Regions from separate parts of the Mus musculus genome. Here all the other regions are reported to be linked to region 2. Evidence: microRNA targets listed by miRTarBase, many of them from high-throughput screens and not tested one by one. Region 2 holds a microRNA gene; each other region holds the end of a gene's coding sequence.
What was found. The annotated mature microRNA mmu-miR-206-3p reads UGGAAUGUAAGGAAGUGUGUGG and lies in region 2 at 3,271-3,292, opposite strand. An mRNA with a match to its seed (bases 2 to 7 or 8) in the 3' UTR can be bound and repressed. Matches are read on the target gene's strand: a 7mer-m8 pairs with bases 2 to 8, a 7mer-A1 pairs with bases 2 to 7 and ends in A, and an 8mer does both.

Region 1: miRTarBase lists Pdcd10 as a target of mmu-miR-206-3p. Seed matches in the 3' UTR shown: 7mer-m8 at 6,366-6,372.
Region 3: miRTarBase lists Igsf5 as a target of mmu-miR-206-3p. The part of its 3' UTR that is shown has no 7-base or 8-base seed match.
Region 4: miRTarBase lists Meox2 as a target of mmu-miR-206-3p. Seed matches in the 3' UTR shown: 8mer at 1,574-1,581.

Annotation. Positions count from the first base shown.
Region 1 is chr3:75,510,878-75,518,002 of GRCm38, forward strand. Pdcd10 (programmed cell death 10) reads right to left here. Exons shown (of 8, transcript NM_019745.4): 8 at 5,613-6,724. The coding sequence ends at 6,643. Among named protein-coding and RNA genes, the nearest start is that of Pdcd10, 42 kb to the right of the region's middle.
Region 2 is chr1:20,675,222-20,682,346 of GRCm38, reverse strand. Mir206 (microRNA 206) reads right to left here and starts at 3,337; the gene lies at 3,265-3,337. All of the region lies in intron 2 of Lincmd1 (long intergenic non-protein coding RNA of muscle differentiation 1), which reads right to left.
Region 3 is chr16:96,402,847-96,409,971 of GRCm38, forward strand. Igsf5 (immunoglobulin superfamily, member 5) reads left to right here. Exons shown (of 9, transcript NM_001177887.1): 9 at 420-1,185. The coding sequence ends at 515. Among named protein-coding and RNA genes, the nearest start is that of Gm32358, 20 kb to the right of the region's middle.
Region 4 is chr12:37,177,175-37,184,299 of GRCm38, forward strand. Meox2 (mesenchyme homeobox 2) reads left to right here. Exons shown (of 3, transcript NM_008584.4): 3 at 979-2,360. The coding sequence ends at 1,203. Among named protein-coding and RNA genes, the nearest start is that of Agmo, 61 kb to the right of the region's middle.

The DNA of each region.
Region 1 (7,125 bases), not on the chromosome of region 2:
AACCTATGCCTCTTTTAGGGGCAGTGGTGGGAACTAGTCTCACATCTTAATGCTAGAATGTGAAATGCCAACACCATGGACTGGAAACTGGTACAGTAACAAATTACATATGTGCATAGTTTTAAATGCAATTATTCCACTTGCAGACTACTCTAATGATATAACTTAAACAAAGCAGTGTTGGAAAGCCATGTAGTTTTGCAAAATACTAAGAACCACTTCCATGTCCACGTACAGACTGATCAGATAAACTATGGTGTATAATGGAACAGTGCGTAAAAATACTAAAGTTCTGTTAACCTATATGGAATTATTATTGAAGGGATGAAAAAGTAACAAAAGTATGTATGGGAAATAACGATCCCATGCAATGTTAATGTCATTGTTAAACACACACACACAAACACACACACAGAGAGAGAGAGAGAGAGAGAGAGAGAGAGAGAGAGAGAGAGAAAGAGAGAGAGAGAGAGGATTAAAGCCACTTCTAGTTGGCAGTGTACACCTGATACTCATTCCAGCATGGGGAGACTGGAACAGGAAGATCAGGAATTCAAGGGTAGCCTGTACTACAAAATATCCTTCCACTCCAAAAATAGTTAATAAATAAAAACACGTCACTTACTAGAATACCTGTAATAGAAAGAAGTTGTGGGTTGAGGAACGGTACAGGGCAAGAGTAAGGTTGTGTGTTTAGTAAAACCACAGTGCTGGGCATCTGTCATGTCAGGGTATCTACACCAAGAAGGCAGATGGAAACAGAAAACTTCAGGGTAGGATCCTGGCCAGTCAGCTTTGTACACAACAGAACACAAGAACCCATATCAAACATGGTGGAAGGCAGAGATGAACATTTAAGGTTGTCTTAAGACCTCTACATACATCTTACAGCATGTATGTCATGGCATGGCATGTGTGGTATGAGTATGCACTCATATACACGAACACACACCACCAGCATACATATTCTTGGCAGCTTGTGTGCACAACCCCCACCCCTCTGCCTGCCACATATACACATGCACTCAAAAATTTTAAAAGTTGTTAACATGATAAAGATGTGAGAAAATGTGGCACCCTCATATATTACTTCCAAGGATGTAAAACAGCACAGCTACTTGGAAGTTCTACATCAAATTACTGAATGGCAATTACACTGCTAAATACCCTCTAACAAAAATCCAGGTCTTACAGCAAGATGTCTACTTAAGTTTATAGTAGCCAGAAAATAATTAGATCTAACTGAAATGCTAACACACTTTTAGATGAGTAAAGGAAAATATGAAACATGATGGATGGCTACTCAGCAGTGAAGTACACCACATATGCTGCCATGGTTAAGTTAGAAGGCCGAGAGGCAGATGTAGAAGGCAACAGTCCACATCGTGGTGGTTTGAAGGAAAATGGCTCCCACAGCCTCATGTATTTCAATATGTGTTGGTGAAGTTCCATGGTTTAGATGTGGCCTTCTTGGAGGAGGAATATCACTGGGAGTGGATTTGAAATTTTAAAAGTCCACGTCAAGCTAGGTGTGTATGCATTCCCCTGACATGCCTCTAAACTCTTTCCTCTGCTTCTTGCTTGTGGATCAGATGTGACCTCGCAGCTAATACTCAAGCAGCCTGGCAACCAACTTGCTTCTGGTCATGATAGCCATGGACTCACCCTCTGAAAACTGTAAGCAAGCTCCCCACTGAATGCTTTCTTTCGTAAGTTACCTTGACTATGGTGCCTCTCCATAGTAACAGAACAGTAACTGAGACATGCATAGTTACAGAAAATGCCCCAAAACGGAAAACCTCTAGGGACAGAACACAGCTCAGTTTTGCCTGGAGATGGGAATGAGAAATCGGAAGAGTTGAGAGATGACACAGTCATGCCTGTTCTACGTCTGAGCTTAGGTTGCACTACTCCATATTTTAAAATCACTGAATGGAACAACTAAAATGTGTTTTGTGATACAATTTTAATCTAATCTTTTTAAGGGTAGATGTACTAGTTCCTGGGCCAGCTAAGCTTTGCCATTATACCTATTTTAGAGAAAATACATAAAGCCCTATGTGTGCTGGCTCTCAGCACTTATTCCAGAACTAGGGGCTGAATGAGAAGGCTAGTCTGATCTTCACAGTTGAGACAAAAACAAAACCCTGAGAGACTTAAGTACATGCAGGCAAAATGACTATTGTGGCTTTAAATGTTTGTCCTTTTCAAAATTCCTGCTGGGACTTTGTCACTGTAAGCTGTTAAATGGATGGAAACTTAATCCAACCATACAATTTGGCAGGGAAGCCCCTGGACATGGGTAGGCAGCAGGGTGGAGCCGAATACATGCAGCCTCATAAGGAGAAAGCAAGTCCTTGTTACTGTCGGGCTGCCCCACTGTGGTTCTCAAACATCTCAGACATCCAAGCTTCTCAAATCTGACCAAATCTCTAAGCTTAAATACATCTCTTTATAACTTAATCTGCAGTCGTGTTGTCAACAATAAAAAAGTAAGGCTAATTCCTTCTGTTTGCCCATTTTTAGTTTCAACTCTCAACATTTTGTGTCTCTTGTCCTGGGACAACTGCAGCGGTTTTACTCTCTGCATGTATGCTGAGGAAAGAGTAGAAAGGGGAGGAGGGGGATTTTGATAGGTTTCTTTTATAAAAGAAAAAATACACAGGAGGAAAACACAGCAAAACCCTAAGTGCTGAGGCTCCTTTTTTAAATGTTTCAGAGAAATGCTGAGCTGTACCCGCATGGCAAGCTTCGGTTTACTTTAAAATAATTAAATCAACAAGCCTAAGTGGCTTTCAACTACACCTTAAGCTTCAAGCCAACTGAAAAAGTAAACAACTGCATTTTCATAATCAGTAAAAGACAAAAACTAATTCATGAATGCATAATATAACATTCTTAATCTTTAGCAGGACACTGGGACATCAAGAACAAACCCTCTTGTTTAGTGAGGTGAAAAATTCTGAGACTCTGGGCTATACTCCCATGATGGACAAGTAAGTGACTGGAACTACAGAGTAAAGGGCAAAGAAATATGGAAAGATGATGACAAGAAAGAGCTCTGTGGAACTTGGGAGTTGTGAATTCATTTCTGAGAACCATGTAAGGGCACGTATACATTTGTATGTATGTAGGCATATTGGTCTGATGAATGGCCTAGATGCAATGAAAACACCCCAGATCACAGTGTAAACTTTTAGTAACTTCATTCTGGCTGTATGAAGAAATAGATGGTCACAGATCTTGGGATGCTTTTATGAAGGGTTAATTAAGGGGTGGGCGAGGTGGGGGAGTGGCAAGACACACAAACAGAAAAGAGAACTCACAGGGCCCAGGAACCACCTAAGAGCTATCTGTCAAATTTAAAATAAAATTTGCATACCAGAGTATGGGATATAAAACACTAGGAAAATATAAAATAAACAAACAACAAACAAATCAAACCCTTATGAACCCATAACATCCAAATTTAGGTGGAAACACATAGCTGGGTAAATGAATGACGGGACAGGAAAACAGGACTTCGTTTCCAAGTAGAATGTCCAATGCTGACTGGTCCATGTGGGAGCAAATGAAGTGTGGACACTATGCCCCTCCTTAGAAGTGGGAACAAAACACCCATGGAAGGAGTTACAGAAACAAAGTATGGAGCTGAGATGAAAGGATGGACCATGTAGAGACTGCCATATCCAGGGATCCACCCCATAATCAGCTTCCAAATGCTGACACCATTGCATACACTAGCAAGATTTTACTGAAAGGACCCAGATGTAGCTGTCTCTTGTGAGACTATGCCGGGGCCTAGCAAACACAGAAGTGGATGCTCACAGTCAGCTAATGGATGGATCACAGGGCTCCCAATGGAGGAGCTAGAGAAAGTACCCAAGGAGCTAAAGGGAACTTCAACCCTATAGGTGGAACAACATTATGAACTAACCAGTACCCCTGAGCTCTTGACTCTAGCTGCATATGTATCAAAAGATGGCCTAGTCGGCCATCACTGGAAAGAGAGGCCCATTGGACACGCAGACTTTGTGTGCCCCGGTACAGGGGAACGCCAGGGCCAAAGGGGGGGAGTGGGTGGGTAGGGGAGTGGGGGTGGGTGGGTAAGGGGGACTTTTGGTATAGCATTGGAAATGTAAATGAGCTAAATACCTAATAAAAAAAAAATGAAAAAAAAAAAAAAAAAAAAAAAAAAAAAAGAATTGGAAAGTCAGTGTTAGATTAGAGCAAACAGCATCAACATATCTTCATCCCCAGAGGAAGATGTTGGCATGTTCTTAAAAGCCTTCCAGAGGTCATGTACTAGTAAAACCAAGTTATATCCTACACTGGAGAAAAACAACTGCACCACAACCAAGTGATGAAAACTAGAATCACCAGTGAGGAGATGGATCGGAGCTCTCCATCTCCTCCTCATGACAACCACCAGTGCAATGTTCGGACCAACGGTACATAACTTGGATCTAGTAAGAAAACGTGAAGTGAGGAACAACTTATAGCACTGAGGCTATAAGACAGGCAAAGCATGCAGAGTATAGTGATACAGAGTGCAGGGTAAGCAACGAAGATGGCAAAAGGTATGCAGTTTTCTCTTTGAGCAACTATTATTCTTGTAAGTTTCCCGAGAGTCTGAAGATATTCCCATATGGAAAATCAAAATTATTAAAAAGGACAGCTATTAGCTCCTCATCCTACTCCCACCCCCACCTATCATTTACTATGTTATGTTGTGTAAGTATAATGGAAGGGGCGTTGGATTTCTGAAAAGAAACCACATTGCTGTAATTTGTATCCCAGTAAACTAAAAAGGGGGTTGGTGAAGCAGCCTCTTACATTCTGTTTCTGGCAATGGAGCAAAAATAAGTGGAGCGAGCACACAGAAGACGTGAACCAAAAGCTCAGCCCTCAGCTGACAGCTAAGCTCATTTCTGATTCTTCAAGTATAATGAAGATGATTAAGTATAGGACTCTGAACAGATCAATTGTACTAACTGCATTTGTCAATAGCACTCAACATAGAAACACCAGAATCATGTGTTTCCTTCCATTCTCCTCCTCAGAAGCCACGGGAAGCAAACCGTATCCGTCTCTACTGATTCACCTCAGATCTTTTAGGATTTGTAGAAATAACGGACTCTCAGAATCCGCCCTCTTTATGAACACGTTTGTTTCACTACAGTGGAAGCCAATGCAGCTGATGACAGAATAAAGAGAAGACTTATAAAAATGAGGCTGGCACCTTCTAAGAGGGAATGAAAATACAAGAAAGGCAGTTGAGACTGTTGGTTAGGAGTCTTCTACCAGTCATACACTTGTCTTCCTTACATTTTCCAACAAAAAATGCTGAGTTTTGATGAAAATACTAAAGATATTTAGCCTATGCTAAATTAATGGTTCTGCAATGGTCTTTTCAATAAACACAAATCAAATTAGGAACACACTCATAGGTTGTAAGTTCAATTATCTGTCTTTTCTGCTTTGCTTCCTTTCATACACTGACTTATATTTAACAGGGCGGTTTTATGCTGTCAAAGACAGCAATCTAAAAAAATTCACTTTCTAAAAACAACTAAATAACAAAAATAACTAAATTGTCTTATAGCAAAGTTCTGTCAACAAATTTTAATATTTCATTTCTTTATAAAACATGAACAAAACCTGATTTTCCCTTTATTTTATAATTAAAAACTCAAATCACTCAACATGAATACCGATACATAGTTTTCTTATAACTTCTCTAGTGTGAAACAAACTATACATATTTAAAGAGTATATATTATATTAACACTGATAAAAATCTCAATACAACTATTAGAATTTTTTTTTTTTAAATTGTGATTACTCTGGGGACAATGTGCAAAGCTTATTAGGGCCTAGTATAGCAGAAGTAATTTCGTGGAGCCGCATCTACCACTCAGAAAGCGTCATGAACCTGAAGTGTTACTACAGTACGAAGACCCCGTAGCTTCATCTCTCTTCTCAGGTCTATAAAGATTGGAAATAGTGAAAAAATATCCAGTTCTTGATATGTAACAACTAACAAAAGTATTTTAACTGACTACATTTTGCTCAAAGTGATTAAGGACAAAAAATAGGAATTCTTGTTCCTTTATTATTTGATAAACTGCTAGTAAGCTCCCATTAGAAGATCTTTAACATTATACCAAGTTGTCTTGGTCTTCTGATCATATATACACACACACATATATATATGCATCTTTTTTCAAGTAAAGAAATGTTTAACAGATGTAAACTATTTATTGAATATTTGCCACCAAATATTGTTAAATACATTATCTTGCAGCATATCGCTTTCAAGTTAAAATGTCAGAAACAAACACCAATATTTACAGTTCTTGTAAGGAATGTTATATAATGACACATTAAGGCGTAAATTCTTTTGGCTTATAATTCTTAAAAGAATGATAATAGCAAAAGTGATGCAAAATCTTCATTGTGAGATTATGATTAAGCTACATTTTACAAAAATATGGTGTAAGATGGCAATAATCCCATTCAACATCCTGGATTAGGTCCCTCCGGAGGGACTGATAATTTATACAGTCAAACTTTAAAATTTACAGATAAATGCAGTTTAATACTGCCACTGAGAAGTACATCTCTTAACATATACAACTTTCAGGCCACAGTTTTGAAGGTCTGAAGTATCAAGTTGGTTTGATGAATTAGCCGGTTGGCACTTATGAACACATTTATTGCCCTGTTTAAAAAGAAAAAGAACAATCATTAATTTCATTTTTCAAATTCACTATTTAAACTAAAATATTTATAGTTAATGTTATATTAACGGTAGCAATAAAATGAAAGGGGGAGGCAAGTAAGTTCTGAGTACTGTAAACTTTCATTCCAGTTGAGAATTTAATGTGGGTTATAAACTATAGCGTCTAGGAACCACTGCCCCCTGGTGGTTCTGACTGGCAGTAAGGGGTTGTAGGGTTGCTACCCCTTAACCATTTACAGGCTAAACAGATCACTGGTCAAACAGGAGGATTCAGATTGTTTTCAGCTGTACAAAATAAATACAATTTAAAAAGAATTTTGTTAACAAAATAAAACCTGATGTGCTTAAGTGATGATTAGAGTTGAGGTTCCCGGTTAGCC
Region 2 (7,125 bases):
TCTTGTTTTCTTGTAATTTAGATGTTTTTCTTTATAGCTTTTCTCATTTATGCATGTTCTGAATCAATATATTTTAATATTATAAATATTTATCTGTGGCATTTTAATTTTACCTTACATGATATCTGTAAGGCTCATTCATATGAATATGGTAACTACAATTCACTAATTTACATTGTTTGACAGTTTTTTTATTATTTAAATATATTATATTCATTCCTTCTCCCAGTAATAGCTATCACAGTCCTTTGGTTTGAAAGAATGGGTGGAACTGACTTTAGTAGAGTCTATCGAGGGAAACAGAGGCATTTTTGGTTCTTGTAGATCATGAAGAAGTCTGGATTCCAGTATGTAAGAACTTACAAGTTGACCTTTTAAGCGAAAAGTAACATTTACCACCCTGACATACCCAGGAGTGGGGTCCCCAAACTCATGTACCCTGCTTTCCCAGTGATTCTGAGGTATCTAAAGTTTGAGAACCATTGAATAGAAGGGGTATCCTCTGCTTTCGGCTTGTTAGTAGTAAAGTGAGATCAAGTGTAGGTAAGAAGGAAAGGCTCCCCGAAAATATGGCTTGCTATCTCCATAAGGTATTGGCATAAGGAGAGGAAAGATGTAGGCCGAAAAGATAGTTGAGTGCTTGCAGAAAACCAACTTTCTCCTTTGGGGCTAGTTACTGGCTAACATGTTTTCTTCTTCTTGATAAATAGAAGTCATTGAGAAGAAAGTATGGCCAGGCAGTGGTGGCACACACCTAAAATTCCAGCACTTGGGAAGCAGAAGCAGATGGATCTTTGAGTTTGAGGCCAGCCTGTTCTACAGAGTGAGTTCCAGGACAGCCAACACTACACAGAGAAAGTCTGTCTCTAAAAACAAAACAAAATAAAACAAACAAAACCATCCTGAAATTTTCTGGGTTCAAAATCCACTGATGCATTCTTGATTTTATTTATTTATTTATTTATTTATTTATTTATTTATTTATTATTTATCTATTTATTAATTATTTATTTGATATTGAGAATTTGATACTGAGAAATATCATATAATGATGTTTGGTATTGAGGTGTTAAGTAGCATCTTGACAGGTCAGCATGTTTGTCTATACTGTGGAAAACATGCCTAGTTTGCCTCTTGTGAATTTTGATAGTAATGAAGGGTGTTCTAAGTTCCTAGGGTACACAGAGGAGACTAGCAAGGCTTGTAGGAGAGTCTGAGGGGCAATTATGCCTGCCTCTGAGGCCAAAACTTCACTTTTAACTCCATCTTGCCTAGAGAGTGTGCCCCATCACTCATCAACAAGAATTTATACTTATCTGTGAATGTGTTAAAATCCACTGGACACGTTTAGAAGTGAGGTAGCCAGGTGCCTGGCTTCTTCCAGATGGACTCTAGTTAGAGAGGCCTGTCTCGAATCATCAAGGTACCTCATACTTTAAAGCACCCAACAGGGCACTGCAGAAAAGGCAACTGGATAAAGGCACACCTATCATGTATGAATGTTGTGATGAGAGAAATTAGCATTACAAAATACAGTGTGACTCTAGGATAGTACTAAAGTTCCTCTGTGTCCTGGGCCACACCTCCTTGGTGTGAATCTTCTTGGCTTGGCTGTCACAATCTTACCTTCTCCACTGTCCTTTTTCTAATGATAGGCGTCTTGTGACTCCTGCCCTCTATCTCCTCCCATGTCTATCTTGTCCACAGCTTATGTTAGGGAACAAGAAGCCAGGCAACTGCAGGGGCAGAGACAGCCTGGCTGTCTGAGATTATTTCTGAAAAAGAATTCTGAACACAGCTCCCCCAACTCTTTCCTTGTGTTTGCCCATGTCTTTTGATCCAGCCTCAGCAACACAGCCATCTATATAACATATCTCTGATTTCAGAACGACATGAAACCAAACACCAGGGTAGAAAAAAAAATCCATGGGCTAGTTAGAAAAAAAGATAGGCTGTCAATGGAAAGAAGTTCAGTTTGAAGCATCAGATATTTTATATAAAAAAGACTGAAGTCTAAAACAGAAAGGACAGAGATTTTTTTTCCTGGAAAATGCCAGTGTCGGACACCATACTAATAAATACAGGTTTTCTCGATCTTCACACATTGACATTTTGACCTGGGTACTTCTTTGCTATGGAGATGGTCTGTACACTATACATGCTTCGTTGCACCCCTGGTCTCCACACCCTAGACACCAGGAATACCCTAAGTGTGACAACAATTTTTCCAAATTACCCACTTCCTGGGAACTGATCCACAGTGGTACGATCCTATGCTCAGTCCTCTAACTGGCCCTTCTCTATTAATCTCCCCCCATCCACCACCCCTGTTCCACACTCTCACCTATCCCCAGAAGAATAGGGTGGCATGCTCATGATGGTAGCTAGGGAACTACCTGGTTCCTGAAAGAGGGATGTAGTGGTCCCCAGTGTGGCTGCATCTCACTTGGGAGTATGAACACTGCCCAGTGTGTTCGGTATGCTGATGTTTTTGAGGGTCCAGGAAATACACATATCCTTTATCTTCCTTTTTTGCCATTCTGGGCTTCTGGGCATGGTGCCAGTCTTCAAATGCCATGGTGCTTCATTTTGTTTTGGGTAAGAGCTCAGGCTGCATGTTTAATGGAGTCTTAGCCTGCATCTGGCATATCACTACAGCGCCTCTTCTCGGTTTCCCTCTAGAGTCTACCTCCTTCATGACATGAGCTTAGACACTAGAGTCAGAACTGGGAACACAGGGCACTGGGTTGAGAACAAAGGAACTTAGGCCACTGAATGATTGCAGCACTATTTTAGGACCCCCATCTTTCTTCAGACAGTGTGACCCAGAAGCAACACACTGACATGGGGTTGTGAAGTAGAAAGAACAGCAGCAGGGCCAGGAGATGTGGAGCCTTCTACCAGGGTGGTGTTCTTCAGAGCCCAGTAGTTGTATACTCTCTGTTTATAACACAAGTCACACACCTGGCACCATGAACTATCCCTGAGCTTGCTTGGTAGAAACATCCATTGCAGGAGCCATATGAGCAGAGGAAGGAACTAGGACCCCGGGAGCTGATTCCCTGAGAGTAGATGTGAAGGATGTTGGTATAAAGGGGCTAGGATGGGGAGCATAGTTGACCTGAAACCCAGTATTGTGGGAGAAGTCTGTAGAGGTAGATTTCTGGGGAAGAGGGCACCTGCAGGTAAGAAAATGTAGCCAAGGAACGAAGAAGTCAACAGCATATTCTCTGGGTGGAGCCATCGGCCTTGAAGAAGCACTTGCCAAAACCACACACTTCCTTACATTCCATAGTGCTGAGATATCTATGAGGATATAAAGAAGCATGTGGCCTGGGGAAGCTGTGTCCTCCGAGGCACTTGTCACGCAGAAGGAAAAGCTGCTTTCTTCCTTGCACAAGTGAGAAGTGTGAAGAATCTCTGGGACCTGACTTCATCCATTCTACACTCCCAGAAACTATCCTGGAGTAAGGTGCCATCTTGGCCTAACAGGCAGAGCTTGTTGGGAACAAATTTCCCCCTATACACTTCAGTCTGAGATCAAGGACCCCAAGGCTCCCCCAAAGGCCACTAGAGATTTCAGCGTAGTTATGGCCAGGCAACCTGTGTTATCACTATAATTACCAGGGTGCAGGTTGCAGGGTGGATTTGAAAATGCTTCTTTTTCTTCTTCTTCTTCTTCTTCTTCTTCTTCTTCTTCTTCTTCTTCTTCTTCTTCTTCTTCTTCTTCTTCTTCATCTTCTTCTTCATCTTCTTCTTCTTCTTCTTCTTCTTCTTCTTCTTCTTCTTCTTCTTCTTCTTCTTCTTCTTCTTCTTCTTCTTCTCCTTCTCCTTCTCCTTCTCCTTCTCCTTCTCCTTCTCCTTCTCCTTCTCCTTCTCCTCCTCCTCCTCCTCCTCCTCCTCCTCCTCCTCCTCCTCCTTCTCCTTCTCCTCCTCCTCCTCTTCCTCCCCCCTCCCCATCCCCCCTCCCCTCTTCCTCCTTAATATTATGGAACTAATAGAACATTAAAACAGGGGTAACATGTGGAGAACTGCTCAGCTTAGAGGCTGGCCCAGGCGCTATTGTACTTCCTATTTGGGTTGCTTGGAATATGCTGACAGGCTGCAGCTGCCAGATGAGCATTCCAACACAATTGTTCATTGTGGAAGGGATCTTTTTTTGTTCAGCCCCTGCTGCTCGTGGCCAATCACCTGCGTCACAATCTGTGAGGCCTGGGCTGTAGGAGATGAATGGACACTGGCAGCTGTTGAGCCATTCAGGGTCTGACTGATCACCCTGGATGGGGAAAATTAAGGGTTTGAACTTCTTGGCATAGAATTCTCTGTCAGGAAATAGAGAAGCAAGCTAAGAGGAGAAGAAGGGTCCCGAACTGGCTCATAGCTCTGTGAGGGCTGCTTCATACAATCAACAAACAATAATAACTTTTTAATAATAATAAAAAGTAACTTTTTTCAGATAAGTTTTATATGACAGGATCATTTTCAATGTCTTCCCTATGCCAGCTCTTTGAATCCTCATATCTATGTGAAACTGTTTTACCCGCTTGTTTCTGGTTTTACACATGAAGATATGGCTCTAGAAGTGAATTAAATTACTTATATGCAAATGGAAATTATTAAAAAAAAAGAAAAATCAAACCAGATTGGAAGAACAGCCTTGGATCAGTCCAGGCTTTCTTTATGAGAGCTTGGAAGGTAAGAGGTGTTGGGAAGGAAGGGAGGAAGGAAGGAAAGAAGGAAGGACACAAAGGTTTTATATTCCATTTTCATCCTTCTGCAGTTTTGAGCTTGGTATGCTGGTATTGCATTGATTTAGAAGTCATGTGTGTGTGTGTGTTTCCCTCCCTTAGGTGTGTAGGAAAATGATCCAGGCATACTAGCATACTAGTCAAAATCTTTCTGCATGACACAGGGAACAATCCAGTAATTCACTTAATGTAATCTATTGGCTGTTTAAGATTCTTTCTGCTCTGAAAGGATACCATTCTTCTTGGATTAAGCATAAGCTTTATGTAAGGGAATCTATGGCCAAACTTCCTGCACATTTGGTGGATTGGTCTATCCAAAGCACAGTGCCAGGGACAGATAACTCTGTAGCGGGCTACTCAGGTCAAAGGAGATGTTGTCTTCTCTCAAAGATGACTTTGAGACCAAAGTGTGGGCACTTTGCCCCTTCTTAGAAATGAGGAACAAAACACCCATGGAAGGTTGAGACAAAGTTTGGAGCTGAGACAAAAGGATGGACCATCTAGAGACTGCCACACCCGGAGATCCATCCCATAATCAGCCTCCAAACGCTGACACCATTGCATACACTAGCAAGATTTTGCTGAAAGGACCCAGATGTAGCTGTCTCTTGTGAGACTATGCCGGGGCCTGGCAAACACAGAAGTGGGTGCTCACAGTCAGCTATTGGATCGAACACAGGGCCCCCAATGGAGGAGCTAGAGAAAGTACCCAAGGAGCTAAAAGGGTCTTCAACCCTATAGGTGGAACAACAATATGAACTAACCAGTACCCCCGGAGCTTGTGTCTCTGGCTGCATATGTATCAGAAGATGGCCTGGTCGGCCATCAGTGGAAAGAGAGGCCCATTGGTCGTGCAAACTTTATATGCCTAAGTACAGGGGAATGCCAAGGCCAAGAAATGGGAGTGGGTGGGTGGGGGAGGGTCTGGGGGACTTTTGGGATAGCATTGGAAGAGCTGGAGAGATGGCTCAGTGGTTAAGAGCACCGACTGCTTGCTCTTCCAAAGGTCCCGAGTTCAAATCCCAGCAACCACATGGTGGCTCACAACCATCTGTAACAAAATCTAACTCCCTCTTCCGGAGTGTCTGAAGACAGTTACAGTGTACTCACATATAATAAATAAATAAATAAATAAATAAATCTTTAAAAAAATGGCGGGAAGGGTTGTAAGATGGAGAACATAAAGACACACGCTTCCTTGCGGTTGACAAAGAACGTTGATAAAGAAACTGTGTGTTACGTGTTTCCAGATCATTTAATTACTTTATGTTAGCCTTTATATTATTATGCCTTTGATGGGTGGTGTTGAGGAGACTTGGGAGACTAGGTGTGTCATCCAGTCACTTGTACATTGTGTTGTGTTGGTAACACCCACCTTTCTCCTCATCTATAGCCAGATCCCAGGATATTTATCTGAAAGTAGTGGTTGAGGAGCCCCATCTGCCCACCAAAAGGTGATTGGTGATTAATGAGATACCACGTGAAGGTCTTGAGTGTCTTAAGAGAACAAGCTAATGATAATATGTCACTCAGCACGATACTGAAAACAGGGTTTATTCTCCACCACCCAACTCGATCCCACAATTGACTAATTCATAAAAGCCTCCAATTCTAAGGTGTTCTTCCCTCATTTCAACGAAGCAAGGGTATTGAGAAGCATCAGGACTTAAGCAACAGTGAAAGTGGTGCCAAAATCATAAGCAACAGCCGTAGTTTTTCCTTTCCTTTCCTTTCCTTTCCTTTCCTTTCCTTTCCTTTCCTTTCCTTTCCTTTCCTTTCCTTTCCTTTCCTTTCCTTTCCTTTCCTTTCCTTTCCTCTCCTCTCCTCTCCTCTCCTCTCCTCTCCTCTCCTCTCCTCTCCTCTCCTCTCCTCTCCTCTCCTCTCCTCTCCTCTCCTCTCCTCTCCTCGTCTTGTCTTGTCTTTTTTTCCTGAGCTGAACATTTGTGTAGTAGAACACAAATAGTACAAACACTGACTTACAAGGACATGAGGATGGTGAATTCCTGGTGATAGTCTTTGGAACATTTCTGAGATTTTGAGAAAATTGGGAATGGTTTGAGCCAGGGAGAAGAGCAGATTACAGACCAACACAGTGCTGTAATCTCCAAGGTTATTGGATGCAACGGGTATGAGGGTGAAGACCGGGACTTGATTATAGCCTCAGTTTCCTTATTTGAAACATGGGAACAATAATGCTTATGCAACAAGAAACTCCAGTGAGAGACTTTTGGGAAGTGTAAAGTGCTGTGAGCATGTATTAGTTTAAAAAATTGTTTTATTATTAATAATAGTAGTATTTAATATCTTCCTTACTAATTCAGTGACTAGGTATGCATACCATGTGGGGCTTTATGCATGACCTACTTAAAAGCCTTTC
Region 3 (7,125 bases), not on the chromosome of region 2:
AGACACGGGGGTGGTGTTTTTCAGCTCAGCACTTCCATTTTGCTTTTGCTCTTTTAGAAGGAATGTGTGTGTTATTTGAAGATGTTCATAAATATCTTATGTTTAAAAAGAAAAAAACACCTACTAGGTAAAGCAAGAACTTCCATGAGGAGATTAGAAAACAAAGCAAAACATAAAATCTTTGCATCTGTAATTTGATTTGGTAAAAATGAGTCTTGGATTCTTAGAATGAGCTTGCTCTTTGGGCTTGGAAAGCACCCAGAGCGTGTGTTGCTGAAGAAAAGGGAGGAGAGGGCATGTCTCTGTACAGTTGCTCATCCTTGTTCCCAGTGCATCTTCCCAGGTTAGTGTCTCTCAGACGAGCACAGTGCCTGGGGCCCAGCCAGTTAGCACACTGACCCTTCTACCTTTGTTACCAGGAACTCAATAAACATCAGCCCGGTCCAGCAACTCATCCACGGGTTTCCTTTGACATCGCCAGTCCTCAGAAGGTCAGAAATGTGACTTTAGTGTAATAAAGACTTCTCATGACTGTACTTGGTGCACATCCACCAAGTCAATGCCATTCTCTTCCGTATCCTGAGACTGGGTCTCAGTTTTGCCAAGGAGTCTGCATCGGAGTCACCGGAGCTGATGGTTAATAGTGACAGGAGGAATCAGTTTCCCTGTATTCCAAGAAGTATTTGGTTTTGAGATGTGTCATGATTTTGGTGAATTCCTCAAGGTGGCCGAGTAAAACCCAAGTGTCTGTCATGGTGGCATTCCTCATGACTTGACACTCCTGCCGATCCAACGAAGGGCAGATATAGATTCTGCAACGACCTTCAAAATGCTTCTGTTGTCTGAGATCATGGTAATATGGTCTTTATGTGTACTTCGCAGCTAGGGATGTTACTGAACATTATTACAGAAACAAGAGCCTAACAGCTAGACTCAACTGCATCTTGTAAGTAACTGGCAGCTGGAGCTCAGGGATGCAGTAAGAGGAGAGGCAGTGTCAGTGCACAGGTCCCAATGCTCTCCGCAAGACAGTCATCCCCATGTGCGCCCTGATCCTCGTCACCACAGTTGTAGGTGAATTAGGCGTGGATTCTGCCTGATGAGGGACAAAGCTCACATTCTGCCAGCATCATGAAAGAACTGGAGAGAGACATATACTATTTAATAAACAAATGAAAAGCCAAACACCTTGTATTATCTTTTTCGTTCATTGTATTTTTAATTCATTCTTTGAGAATTTCATAGGTGGACACAATGTGCTTTTATCCATTCTGTGATAGTAAAGCCTCCTCTGACTCCTCCCAGACCTCCCAACTTCCCATTCCAACTTCATGCCCTCTTCGTTTTCAACCAGTTCTGCTGTATATGGATGGTTGTGGGGGGCCGTCCACTGGAAAATGGACAACTTACCAGGGGCTAACACTTCCACATTGAAGTCCATCACTAAAAGAAGCCAAGACAGGAAATCAAACAGGGCAGGAACTTGGAGGCAGGAGCTGATGCCAAGGCCATGGAGGGATGCTGCTTACTGCCTTGCTTCTCATGGTTTGCATAGCCTGCTTTCTTATAGAACCCAAGACCACTAGCCCAGGGATGGAATGGACTGGGTCCTCTCCTCTTAGTTAGTCAGTCACTAACTAAGAAAATGCCCTACAGGTTTGTCTACAGCCTAATCTCATGGAGATAATTTTCTTAATTGAGGCTTCCACCTCTCTGATGATCATACTTGTGTCAAGTTGACATGAAACTGTCCTGGATGCCTTCCATGCTGTGATATTGACTGGCTTGGTCTTGTACAAGCCTTGTCCAGGCAGTCATCACTGCTGTGAATTTATAAGTACAGTGGTCCTGCTGGGTCCAGAAAGCAATGATTTTTACCAGTCTTCCCTGACATCTGGCTCTTCCAGTCCCTCTATTCCCTCTTCTGTGATGGTTCCTGAGCCTTGGCCAGCGAGGGGATGATACAGTTGCCTGTTTAGGATGAGCACTCCACAGTCCCTTATTCTCTGCATGTGGACTGATTATGAGTCTGTATTAACTGCTGTCCACTGTGTGAGGAGATACCTGTGGTGAGGGAGGGATGAGAATTGGTGCTGCCTTTTAAAATTATTATTTTATGTATATGGGTGTTTTACCTGCATTAATGTGTGTGTATCACATGTGTGCGGTGCTCATGGATGCCAGAAGAGGGCATCACATCCTCTAGAACTGAAGTTAAAGACTAGCTGCTAACTGCCATGTGGATGCTGGGCACTGAACCTGAGTTCTCTGGAAGAGCAACCAGTGCTCTTAACTACCGAGCCATCTCTCTAGCCCTGGTGCTGCCTTTCTCAATGCTAAGATTTTGGGTGGTAATTCCAAGAAGGAAGTTAGGAGACCTTCTCGTCCCATGTAAAATTAACATGGAGATTAGGATTCAGGATGAAATTTCTGCCCTTTCCAAATCCCTTTTACATCTAGGTATGCTCAATGAATTTCACCGCCTGCATATGGTACACTCACATTTAACCCAGAGGCAGGACCATTATTTTGTGATACAAATGGGTTGGTACAGATTTCTCTGCTGGCTAGCAATCACTCCCATGTTTAACTATGCTACTGATAAGGTAGAATTTGACTTTTGACATATGTCAAGACTATTCCTGTGAAGACTAAATAAATGTCTATTCACCTTAGATAGTGAACCTACAACTGACCAAGGTATGGATAGCACCACAATCCAACTTGGGGGACCAATGAGTTTTATTGGGGCTACTTACAGAAATATGGGGGAAGGATTACTTACAGGAGCAGAAATCACTCTGGGACAGCCACATCACAAAAGCCTACCTCAGCGTGGGTGATGGCTCACAAGATCTGAAAACTTGAGACTCACTGCATCACCCACAGACAGCTCAAGAGGCTACAAAGTGCCCTTTCCAGGTTGTTGGGTTTATCTGAGCCTCTTGCAGGCAGCTCAGCTTTTCTGAGAGTAACTCTTAGCAGTCTCTACCGCTTGTATACTCATGGGAAGGAGGACCTGGTGAATCTGATCAATTTCAGGGACTCCTTGGAACTATTCTGAGTTGTTAACTTCCTGTCTTAAAAGTTTCACTGCCAGATTGACCCTCCAGTCAACATCCTGTCTCAAGAAGTTTCCTTCTAAAATGGCAGGTTTTCATCATGGAGGAAACTGTGACCTAACCATAGATTCTAGTGAATTCTGTGAAATTATTCAATGAAGGATCGAGATGGCATTCCTTGTCACTCAGTGCTTCTGCTTGTTGCAGAGCCACATAACACTACTTAAACTTAAGTTTTAAAAAACGAAACGAGATAAAAGATCTTTTCCCTCAGCTACATCAGCCCATTTCAAGTGGTTGATAGTCACTCATGACTAGTACTGTACACGCAGTCAGATGACAGGTTTTTGTTGTTGAAACAAACTCTGTTGGACAGAGATGAGAGAGAATGAGAGGAGAGGGGGGTGAGGAAGGGAGGGGGGAGGGAGGGAGGGAGGCAAGAAGGGAGAGAGAGGGAGGAAGGGAGGGAGGGAGAGAGAGAGAGAGAGAGAGAGAGAGAGAGAGAGAGAGAGAGAGAGAGATAGTTAGTTGTAAATGACCTTGACATGTCATGGGCTCTTCCACCAAACACAATCTGTGTTTCCCTCAGTGTGAAAGCCTGCAGTCGACCGGTTTCTATTTAGGGATCTTGCAAACCTCAAGGCAGCTCTCAGCTCAACGTGGTGTTTTGCTGATGTGGTAAAAGTGTCTTTCACTCTGCAGACAGTTGAGGCAGGCTCAGGGGGCTGGGGTGGGAGGAGGCAATCAGCAAATGACATAGACAAGGTCGTTTCTCCAAAACATAGAAGAGGGTCTCTGGTGATGAATGACTGATAGGGATGCAAATCTAGTTAAATGAGCGTCCCCCAAAGCCTTGTTCCATTGAATCCTGGCTAGGAAATGACCCCACTTGACTTCCTGGCTAGTTTTGAACTTGCCTGATCTTTCCAAGGCCTCATGTAGCTGACTTAGAGCAGCAGGACTGAAGTGGTGATGCCAGTCCCTGAGGACAATGGGGAGCCTTTCTTCTCTGTGTGGCTCTGCAAGGGAAGAAGGCGAGGGTAAGATGATAAACAAAGTCTGAGCAAGATGGAGCACACCAAGGGCCTTTACAAGGAAAGGCTCTGGTGTCCTTGGATTATGCAAACGAGAAGGCCTGAGAGGACTGGCAGGGCAGTAGAGTTGGCTAGACCTGTATAGAGCAGGCCTTGTGGTTGTTGGAGGGACATAGCCAAACCATGGGAATCTGCCCTGAACCAGCCCTAGCTGGAAGCCAGATGCCCTGTAAGCTCATTGAGGTTAGGGTTAGTGTATAAGTCAGTTTCTGGGGAGGACTGAGCTGGGTGAGGTATACAATGGGTGTGGGTGGACAGGGAATGTCCAGGGATCAAGGAATGGAGAGTGCATTTGTGAAGAAGGAAGGAAATATGCTTTGCCTAGCAGGTGCATGGCTCCTCTCCCTAAAGGATAAGCCATTTGAAGTGCACATCACCAGGATGCCCTAGGCATGTACCTTCCTTGATTGAGTAGCTCAGGCCCTTTGATGCCCATGTTCACATTCACAGAACAAGGAGACAGAATGGGGATCCTCTGAGATGCTCAGAGATGCTCATACCCACAGGCAAGCCGGCACCAGCATCCGTCCTATCCTCTCCCAGTGTAGCCCAGTGAATACCCTTCACCCTGGCAGTACCGAGGTAGGTATTTCTACAGATGGCAAATCTTTGATTCCCTCCAGCTCAATCTGGAACCCTTGGGCACAGAGGCCTTGACTAAAGTGTTTGTGGTTTGTGGTGGTGGCTTGAGTCCTAAGCAGCTCCCATTACCTTCTCTATGCTGCTGGGAGCATGTGCCATTTCTAAAATATGCAATGGGATAGTGAGCACTGGGGCCCTAGGCAGATCCATGAGAACTATTGCCCAGACAGCAGCTTCAGGCCGAGAGATTGATGTCTTACCTCCTAGTAATACTGGGTTGACACAGCGAAACTTCCAGAAGGCTCTGGTTAAGTCTGTGGAGGAATGCAGGCAACCCAAAGGTGGTGTAACCAAAATGTGTTAAATATATTTTTCTCTAGAAACATAAATAGCGTGTGTGTGTGTGTGTGTGTGTGTGTGTGTGTGTGTGTGTGTGTGTGTGTGTATTGGACCCTATTCTGCCCTGGTTTGGACCTTGAGGACAAACCTGAGCCTGGCTCGAGTTTTGAAAACTGTCTCAGTCACTTCTGTACTGGAGTGACTCAGCATGGCCTGCTTAAGCCTGCCTTTGCCTAGCTACTGCTGATGTAAAATAACTTTGTTGGCTCTGTCAGTCACCCATTTGTCACCCTTCTCCTACCCCTTTGTCAGCTCAGCAACACCCCCCACCTCCTTTCTCAGCCCTTTATAAACAAAAAGATTGATACAATTAAATGAGTTCCTGCTTCGACAGACTCCCCACGCCATGTGGTTATTCTCTGGATGGCAGGAGATCAACACTCACCATCCCACTTCAGCCCCCAGGAGAGACTTGGCTGGAACGGGTTCTCTCCTCTCAGCCTGGACCTGCCAACAGGCACAGAGCTGGCATGTGTGTGTGTGTGTGTGTGTGTGTGTGTGTGTGTGTGTGTGTAAAGTTTTACAGGATAGCTTCATTTGCAAACAGCCAGGCAACAGTTTTAAATTTCATGGACAATAAAGTCTGAGGCAGTCCAACTAATAGAAGCAACTCTAAATAAAAAACTAATTTTAAAAACTGCAAGTGATGGAGTCCCTATCCCACCTCCCCACCTTCAGAAAGGACAAGTCAGAAAGTTAGGAGCAGTGTAACAACTGAAGGCTCCTATCATGAGGGTAGCAAGGATGAAAGTTTTGTCTCCTTCCTGCCTCCTGGCACCTTCACGGTTTGTGTGTGCATTCAGCTCTGTGTGCTGTGTGCCTGTGTATATGTGTGTGCTTGTGCATGAATACATATTTGATAGGTGCATATGTATATGTAGTGTATGTATTTATATCTACATACCATGTGTATGTGTACTTGTGTGTACATGAGTGTATCCATATATATGGCATATGCATATTTTTGTATGTTAATGTATGTGCTATGTATTTATGTGTACATGTGGGCTCCAGTTTGCCACCCCAGCTTCAAGTCCAAATTGCCTTTCTGGCCACCAAGGACAAAGAGGTTCCTCTCTGTCTACAGGGGTGTTGAGTGACTTCTTTCCTGTCCCTCTGATATTCTCTCTCTCTCTCTCTCTCTCTCTCTCTCTTTTTCTCTCTCTCTGCATATATACATTACAGCTCAGTCTTCATGAGGGTCCCCCAACAACTGGAGCAGGGAATGTTTCTTTTTAAAAATATTTTTTATTATTACATATTTTCCTCAATTACATTTGGAATGCTATCCCAAAAGTCCCCCATACCCCCCCGCCACTTCCCTACCCACCCATTCACATTTTTTGGCCCTGGCATTTCCCTGTACTGGGAATATATACTGGGCATATAAAGTTTGCGTGTCCAATGGGCCTCTCTTTCCAGTGATGGCCGACTAGGCCATCTTTTGGTACATATGCAGCTAGAGTCAAGAGCTCCGGGGTACTGGTTAGTTCATAATGTTGTTGCACCTACAGGGTTGCAGATCACTTTAGCTCCTTGGATACTTTCTCTAGCTTCTCCATTGGGGGCCCTGTGCTCCATCCAATAGCTGACTGTGAGCATCTACTTATGTGTTTGCTAGGCCCAGGCCTAGTCTCACAAGAGACAGCTATATCAGGGTCCTTTCAGCAAAATCTTGCTAGTGTATGCAATGGTGTCAGCATTTGGAGGCTAATTATGGGATGGATCTCTGGATATGGCAGTCTCTAGATGGTCCATCCTTTTGTCTCAGCTCCAAACTTTGTCTCTGTAACTCCTTCCATGGGTGATTGTTTCCAATTCTAAGAAGGGGCAAAGTGTCCACACTTTGGTCTTCGTTCTTCTTCAGTTTCATGTGTTTTGCAAATTGTATCTTATATCTCGGGTATGCTAAGTTTCTGGGCTAATATCCACTTATCAGTGAGTACATATCATGTGAGTTCTTTTGTGATTGTGTTACCTCACTCAGG
Region 4 (7,125 bases), not on the chromosome of region 2:
ACCAAACAAAAGAAGCCAAGTGATCATAAACATGGCGATGCTTTTATGTTAGCTGAGGTTTTTTAAAAATCTCAAAATAAGGACATAGTAAGTAGTCCTAGTATTAAAAAAAAAGTGCTGACAAATCTAGATCTTGTGAAATAAGTTAATCAATATGAATTCATGAATTTTTTTTTACTGAGGTGGATTGTCACATTCTCTTGAGTCCTTTGAGGAAGTTTCTGGGTATTCACCCGGGCAGGGGCGGGGGATGCAAGGTAAATACTGAGGAATTTTTACTGTGGCTGCATTCTTTGGCAACAGTTCAATGATATTTCTGAAGTAAACGTTAATAAAGGCAAGAGCAGAAAGAAGACCAGTAAAGACAGACTTCCTGTAGAGTATCAGGAAACCAACTGTGCTAGGTCCTGCAGACAGTCCCCAGTTTAGCCGTGGTGGGCTGGAGACTCTTCTTCACGATAGTTTTATTGGGACACCATTCCATATAAATCAGGAGCATCTGGTCCTTTACTGAGGTGAATTATGCCCCCCATGCCCCCCGCCGATCTGAAAGGATGTGCTGAGAGATAATTCATGCCTTTCCAAGTTAAGGGACTTTCGTAGTAAATAGTGCGCTTTCAGAGGTGGATTTACCAGCAGATAAACCTGTAAAAATTCTACTGTCAAGTCAAAGATGAATTTCAGAGAATGTGTAAACTTTGATAGAGGTAAACATAATATTTTATTTGATCGATGAGAAACTCCACTCCAATGCTTCCGAGCAAACTTCCTCGCCTATTTGTAACTTTGTGTTATGTGTTGGAATTTACGATAATTCTTTGAATGTACTAAGCCTTTTCCATTACTACGCACATGCAATCTAACTCACTGCAATCCTGCCTGTTTTTTCTAATTGCTGCATCATGGTGTATGTGCGCAGGCACTTGAGCAACTAGGTCCTATTGCCTTTGCTGACTTACTTATTCCCTCTCTTTGAAGGTGAAAGTGTGGTTCCAGAACAGGAGAATGAAGTGGAAGCGGGTCAAAGGGGGACAGCAAGGAGCTGCTGCCCGAGAAAAGGAACTGGTGAATGTGAAAAAGGGAACGCTTCTTCCGTCAGAGCTGTCAGGAATCGGTGCAGCCACCCTCCAGCAGACAGGGGACTCACTAGCAAACGAGGACAGCCGCGATAGTGACCACAGCTCTGAGCACGCACACTTATGATACCTACAAAGACCAGCTCCATTCTCAGGAAAGCACCATTGTGATGGCAAACCTTACCGAACATCGTTTACATGGCAGATGTCTGTGGCAGTGTGGCTTAGTATAATTAAATGCAGGCATCTCGAGTCTGTGTCTCATGATGGATAGACGGTTTACACTAAGTGCCTTTTATTGAAGATGCTTCCACAGTGAAATTGGAGAAAGCGAACGTATTCCAAATACACTTGTTCCTATATATGACAGAGAGGGAGATGGATGTTTGCTTTGGCTTGCACTGAAAATTAAATTTGCTACCAAGAGCAAACTTGATAAGACGTTTTTACTCAAGATGTCTCCAGAGTGAAGATGTTAAAAATAAAAAATGCTTTGAACATTCCAGTTGTGCCAGGTCATGTGTGTGACACTAGGCAGGTATTTGCTTTTGCTTGCACTGAAAATTAAACTGCTATCAAGTTAATCCATGAAATAGTTTATCTTGAACAGCCACAGTGCCTGAAATCACCAAGTGGATATAAAATGTACTGAAACTCTGTATATATTACCCCTAAGTCATTTTTCCTGTCTTCACTAATTTTAGCAAATGCATTCATATTAGCTGATTAAAAATAGGCTTTTCCATTGACAAACACAGCCAGCTTCTTGTATTTTTATACATTTGTGTCAGACAGAGAAAATCAGTATGTGCTTACTTGTGTTCAAGTAGATAAAATGCAGTAGAGTCTGATAGGACATATCCTTGTACCACAGACAAAGCAAATCTTCTGTTGCATTGACTATCAACTGCTGCAGATACATTAGAGAACATACCTAGCTCCCCTCCAGCCTTCTTCTCTTATATCTTGAAAGACATTAGGATCATAGGCAAATCAGTTACCTTGCAGAACGAGTCTTGTGCGGCAAATGTCTGATTTTACATCTTTAAGTTGTTAATGTTTATGGGTCTGATTCAATTAACAGGGAAAAGCTTTCTTCCTCCTTGTTTATGATATAAAACCAAGTGCCAAACAAAGCTAATTCTTCAAGAGAATAGTTGAGAAACTGAATGTCTGACAATTAGACTCTGAAAGTGCATTATTTTTCATATGCTCTATATTCATGCAGAACAAGTTCTTGTATTTTGTAAAAAAAAAAAGATAAATAAATGATCCTTGAAATAATTATTGTCTCGCCACTGTGACTTCATTGGGTTTGGTAGATTTATTCTTTTATTTGGGATCAAGGCTGGTCTAGATGTCATTAGGTGACTCAGCTTGGCACTGACCTCTCAGCAATCTCTTGTCTCAGTCATCCAGGTGCCAGAATCATAGACTGGATCAACCATGTCTAGTTAATTTTAGTAGATTTGAAAAAAATAGATGCTTAAAAAGATTCCAAATTGTTTGCTTCTGTGTAAATCTAAATGGATATGAGTTATGAAATAAGATTCATAATTTCTGGTTTTTATTATGGCATAAAATTTGTAAGAATAGGCATATATATACTGAGCAATGTTAGGTAAATGAAATGGAAACATATTACAGGAGCTATAGGTAATGCATGGGCATTAGCCCAACACTTTTAGTTTATACTTATCTAACTTTTCAGTACTTAGTGAGAAACCCAAAAACTCACTCGCGGTAGATATATGCCCTACCATTGAACTCCCTGACCAGTCTGCAAATAGATGCTTCACGTTCATGATCTCTAGCTTTGGTGTGAAATATGAGATGAACAAACGTAAAAAGAACCCCACTTCTAACAGACATTGTTGATAGAAGAAAAATAAGGTGTCTCATTGCACAGCCAGTGTCACATCTAAGAGGGTGTCAGGACCTTGGATGACAAACCCCTGTTATTATCACTTTATCACCTTGCTTTTGGTTCATTATTCATTTGACTCAGAAGGAGTCAGGAATATTACCAGTCCTCACTTATATTAAAAGAGTAAAAATTCGACCAAATAAACAATATGTGATTGATGAATTTTCTTTAGAATGATTAAACTAGTAAAACACGTTTAATTTAATTTATCCTAATGTGATACCAATAGTATTCAGGGAAAAAGTCACTTTTTTTTTCATCTGTGCAATAATTTTCATCTCACTATAGAACAATATTTCTGAATTAATATGGACAAATATATCATTTTCATTGTCATAAACATATTTTCTTATCAATCACTTGAATGAATATAAAGTATATTTGTGTTGCTAATATATACTTTGGTGGGTTGACATTTTTTATTTTACAATTGAGTTCAAAATGAAATATCTTGAGAAATTGGGTAAAAGAAAGATACAAATCAAATTGAATTCAATTGGAAAAGGGTATGAAATAATTCATTTAGGCATGAAAATAATGAGAAATTGAAAGTTAGACGTAACCAAAGAGAGCAATAAGGTTTGTTGTGAAACTAAAACACTTATAAATCAGACTTAGAGCTTATTATGACCAATACAATCATTATAATGGTAATTATTCTACATACACAAGATATTCACAAATGAAATGAGGCAAGAGTAGGATGGAATATACTTCCCTGTGAATAATCCTAAAATGAAAAATTGATTCCACAGAAGCAAGTAGGGAAGGTCATATGTTGATCAAAAGGACAAGTTGTTGACATGGATTCAAATGATCCACTGGAGACAGAAGTCAATTGCTGAGTATCAAATTCAGTACTGTCTATAAGGTACATAAATTCCCTAATATTGAGCTACATGCCCCCCCCAGACAATAATTGGAACTTAGTATATTTTTCAGTATCTTAGTATTTGCCTACCTTGAAAATGATGCATAAACCATATAGACTTCGTTCTTTTCCTGGAATTTAAATATTTTAGGAAAATTAAAGTATTGTGAAATATCAACTAAGATCTTCCAGACCTGTTAATGATCAAGATAAAAGGGATTGTGGAAAGGATGGATGGATAGATGAATAGATAGATAAATGGATGGATGGGTAGATAGATAGATAGATAGATAGATAGATAGATAGATAGATAGATAGATAGATTTCTTCTTCATGATATGATATTTTATTACATACTGCCCTGGATTCTCATGTAATTCCTTCTCAGAGCCCATGAGTCAGAATAAATACACTTTCCTCTAGAAATGACATTTAGGTGTGATGATCAGGGTGATTTCCCAGCAGGGCTCAGAGGAATGAAGGAATGAATACTGCATAGTTTCTGCAAGCCATCAACATGACTCCAATTAGTTTTTACTTCCCAAAGTTACTCAGAGATTTCTGCAGATTTGATCCCAAATGCCATTATGAACATGGGTTTTTAAGTTAATTTTATTTACATTATTTTTGTCCAACAATAGCTGGGGTAACAAAATAATCTTTTTTTTTCTCTCGACAATTTGAACATTTTTTTTTCAGCTCTTACCGAATGCAGTTAAACAAAGTGAACAAAAAAATAAAAGTGAAAAAGAAAAATGATTGCCTTACTAAATAATGAGGCACTAGAAAATGTTAATTTAATTTTTAAACTTTCCTTTTTCTTTGTGTTTGTGATTTTCTTTTTTATTATTTTTTTACACTCCAGATTTTATCCCCACCCCCAGTCCACCCTCTGACTGTTCCACACCCCATAATTCCTCCCCACTCCCCTGTCTCAGTGAGGATGTCCCCACCCCCATTCTCCACCCCACCTGACCTCTAAACTATTTTCTATTATCTATTTCTATCATGCATTTTATAATTATACTTTGACAGTTAAGTTGCTTTAAAATACTTTAAACATATGCCTTATATATCTTATTACTCTTTTAAAAAGCTGACCTTGTTTTACTCAAGTCTAATTTCAATCCATAATAAAAAAAATCCAGAAAAACTTCTTTTAACATTACAAAATATTCAGTAATATCTTGACAAAATACAGTTTGTTTTCTAGAGACAATTTTCATATAAGAAAATGTTTCATATGTCATTTTATCACAATGACTTCATAGTATAACTGCTATATCTCTTGGTATGGAGTAGGTTAATCTACAGCATTCTTATATTCAGGGTAACATAATTTCTCCTTTGTAAATATAAGTCTAGGGATGAACATACATATTTTCTTTAAATTTAAAGGTAATCATAGAGCTTAGATGTGCTTATATTTTCTTGAAATTATGTACACCTCTTTTTAACATACTAGTAGATGAAATAATTTATTATAGGTTTTTTAATTTGGTGGATATAGGTTTTAAATAAATTATGACTTGCTTGAGTTGATTAAATGTTGGATACGAACTGTTATTTTAGCTGAGCTATTAATACTTGTTATTGACTTTCATTTTTTTTAGTGTAGAATCCACTTTTATTTGACTTTTCCTGCATTAGAGTATGGAATATTTCATGGCCAAATATATGTATATATGGTCTAATAGATTGGATTAGTGATTAAAAAATAGAGAAAATGTTGACAAAGTCTGTGTTCTGTCCTCTGAGCAATACCTCTGCAGCTGAGAAAACACTGAATTGTAGATTGGAAAAACTAAAAAGACACTTGGTAAGTATCTTGTGGTAATCTTTCCTTGATTGCAGTGCAAGCAGACATAACTAAGAGTGTGAGGTTAAACTGTACTATTACCCAAAACATTATGTTTTAGAAAGATGAGAAAGCAGGCATATAGATATCAATCTTGATAATAAAATTCATCATTTAATGAAAAATTTCTAGTATATAAAAATTATTGCTATAATAAAATCTGAGTAGGAAAAATTAGAAAATTATCTGTCCCTTATAAACATTCTGGCTTCTGAATTTCAAAATATACACCTTAATATTGAAAACAATATTTATTTTATTTTTGTCAATTTAAAGTTTTTAAAATTAATTTATTCTTTCATATATTACATCTTAAACACAGCCTCTCCTCCCGCCTCTCTTTCCAGTCCCTTCCCAATGACTTCTTCTCCATTTCCCCCCAGAGAAGAGTAGGCATGCCAAGGATATCAACCAAACCAAATCAAGTTTAATAAGACTAGGTACCTATCCTCATATCTAGAATGGAAAAGGCCCTGATGAGTCCAGGTAGGCTGATGCTGTGGGTTTTTTCTTGTGGTATCCTTGACACTTCTGGCTTCTAAAATCCTTCCTTCCCTTCTTCTACATGATTCACTGACTCTCACCTTATATGTGACTGTTGGTTTCTGCATCTGTTTCTGGATAGAGTCTTTCTGATTGTGATTATGGCACCCTCCAGTATATAAAAGTAAGTTTTTTCTTTTCTTTTCTTTTCTTTTCTTTTCTTTTCTTTTCTTTTCTTTTCTTTTCTTTTCTTTTCTTTTCTTTTCTTTTCCTCTTCTCTTCTCTTCTCTTCTCTTCTCTTCTCTTCTCTTCTCTTCTCTTCTCTTCTCTTCTCTTCTCTTTTCTCTTCTCTTCTCTTCTCTTTTTTCTTTCTTTCCTCTTTTTCTTTTTCTTTTTTTGGTTCCCAGGCATATTTGTATTTGGTTCTATCCTAGGTCTCAGGGCAATCATGCCTCTGTGTTCTGGTTCACCAGGCAGTGTCAGGAACTGGCTCCCTCTTGTGGCATTGGTCTCAATCTGGACCAGTCATTAAATTGCCACTCAGTTTCTCTGCCACCTTTCCCCAGCACCTCATGCTGGCAGGACATATTTCAGGTGGAAGTTTTTGTGGGTGGATTGGTGTCCCAGCAACTGCACTGAAAGTCTTGCCTGGTTATGAGGAATGGCTTATTCAGGCTCTGTATACCCCATTACTAGGATTAATAGCTATGGCCACCTAATAAAACCCTGGGAGTTTTTGTTGCCCTGGGCTTCTAACTTGCTTTGGAATGGTCTTCCAATTCCAGGCATCTCTCTCATCATTCTTTATCTTCATTTAACTGCTCCTTGATTTTTCTCTTTCCACCTAACCCCATCCACTCATAATATCTATGTGATATCTATTCTATTCCACCCTCCCAGAGAGATCTAT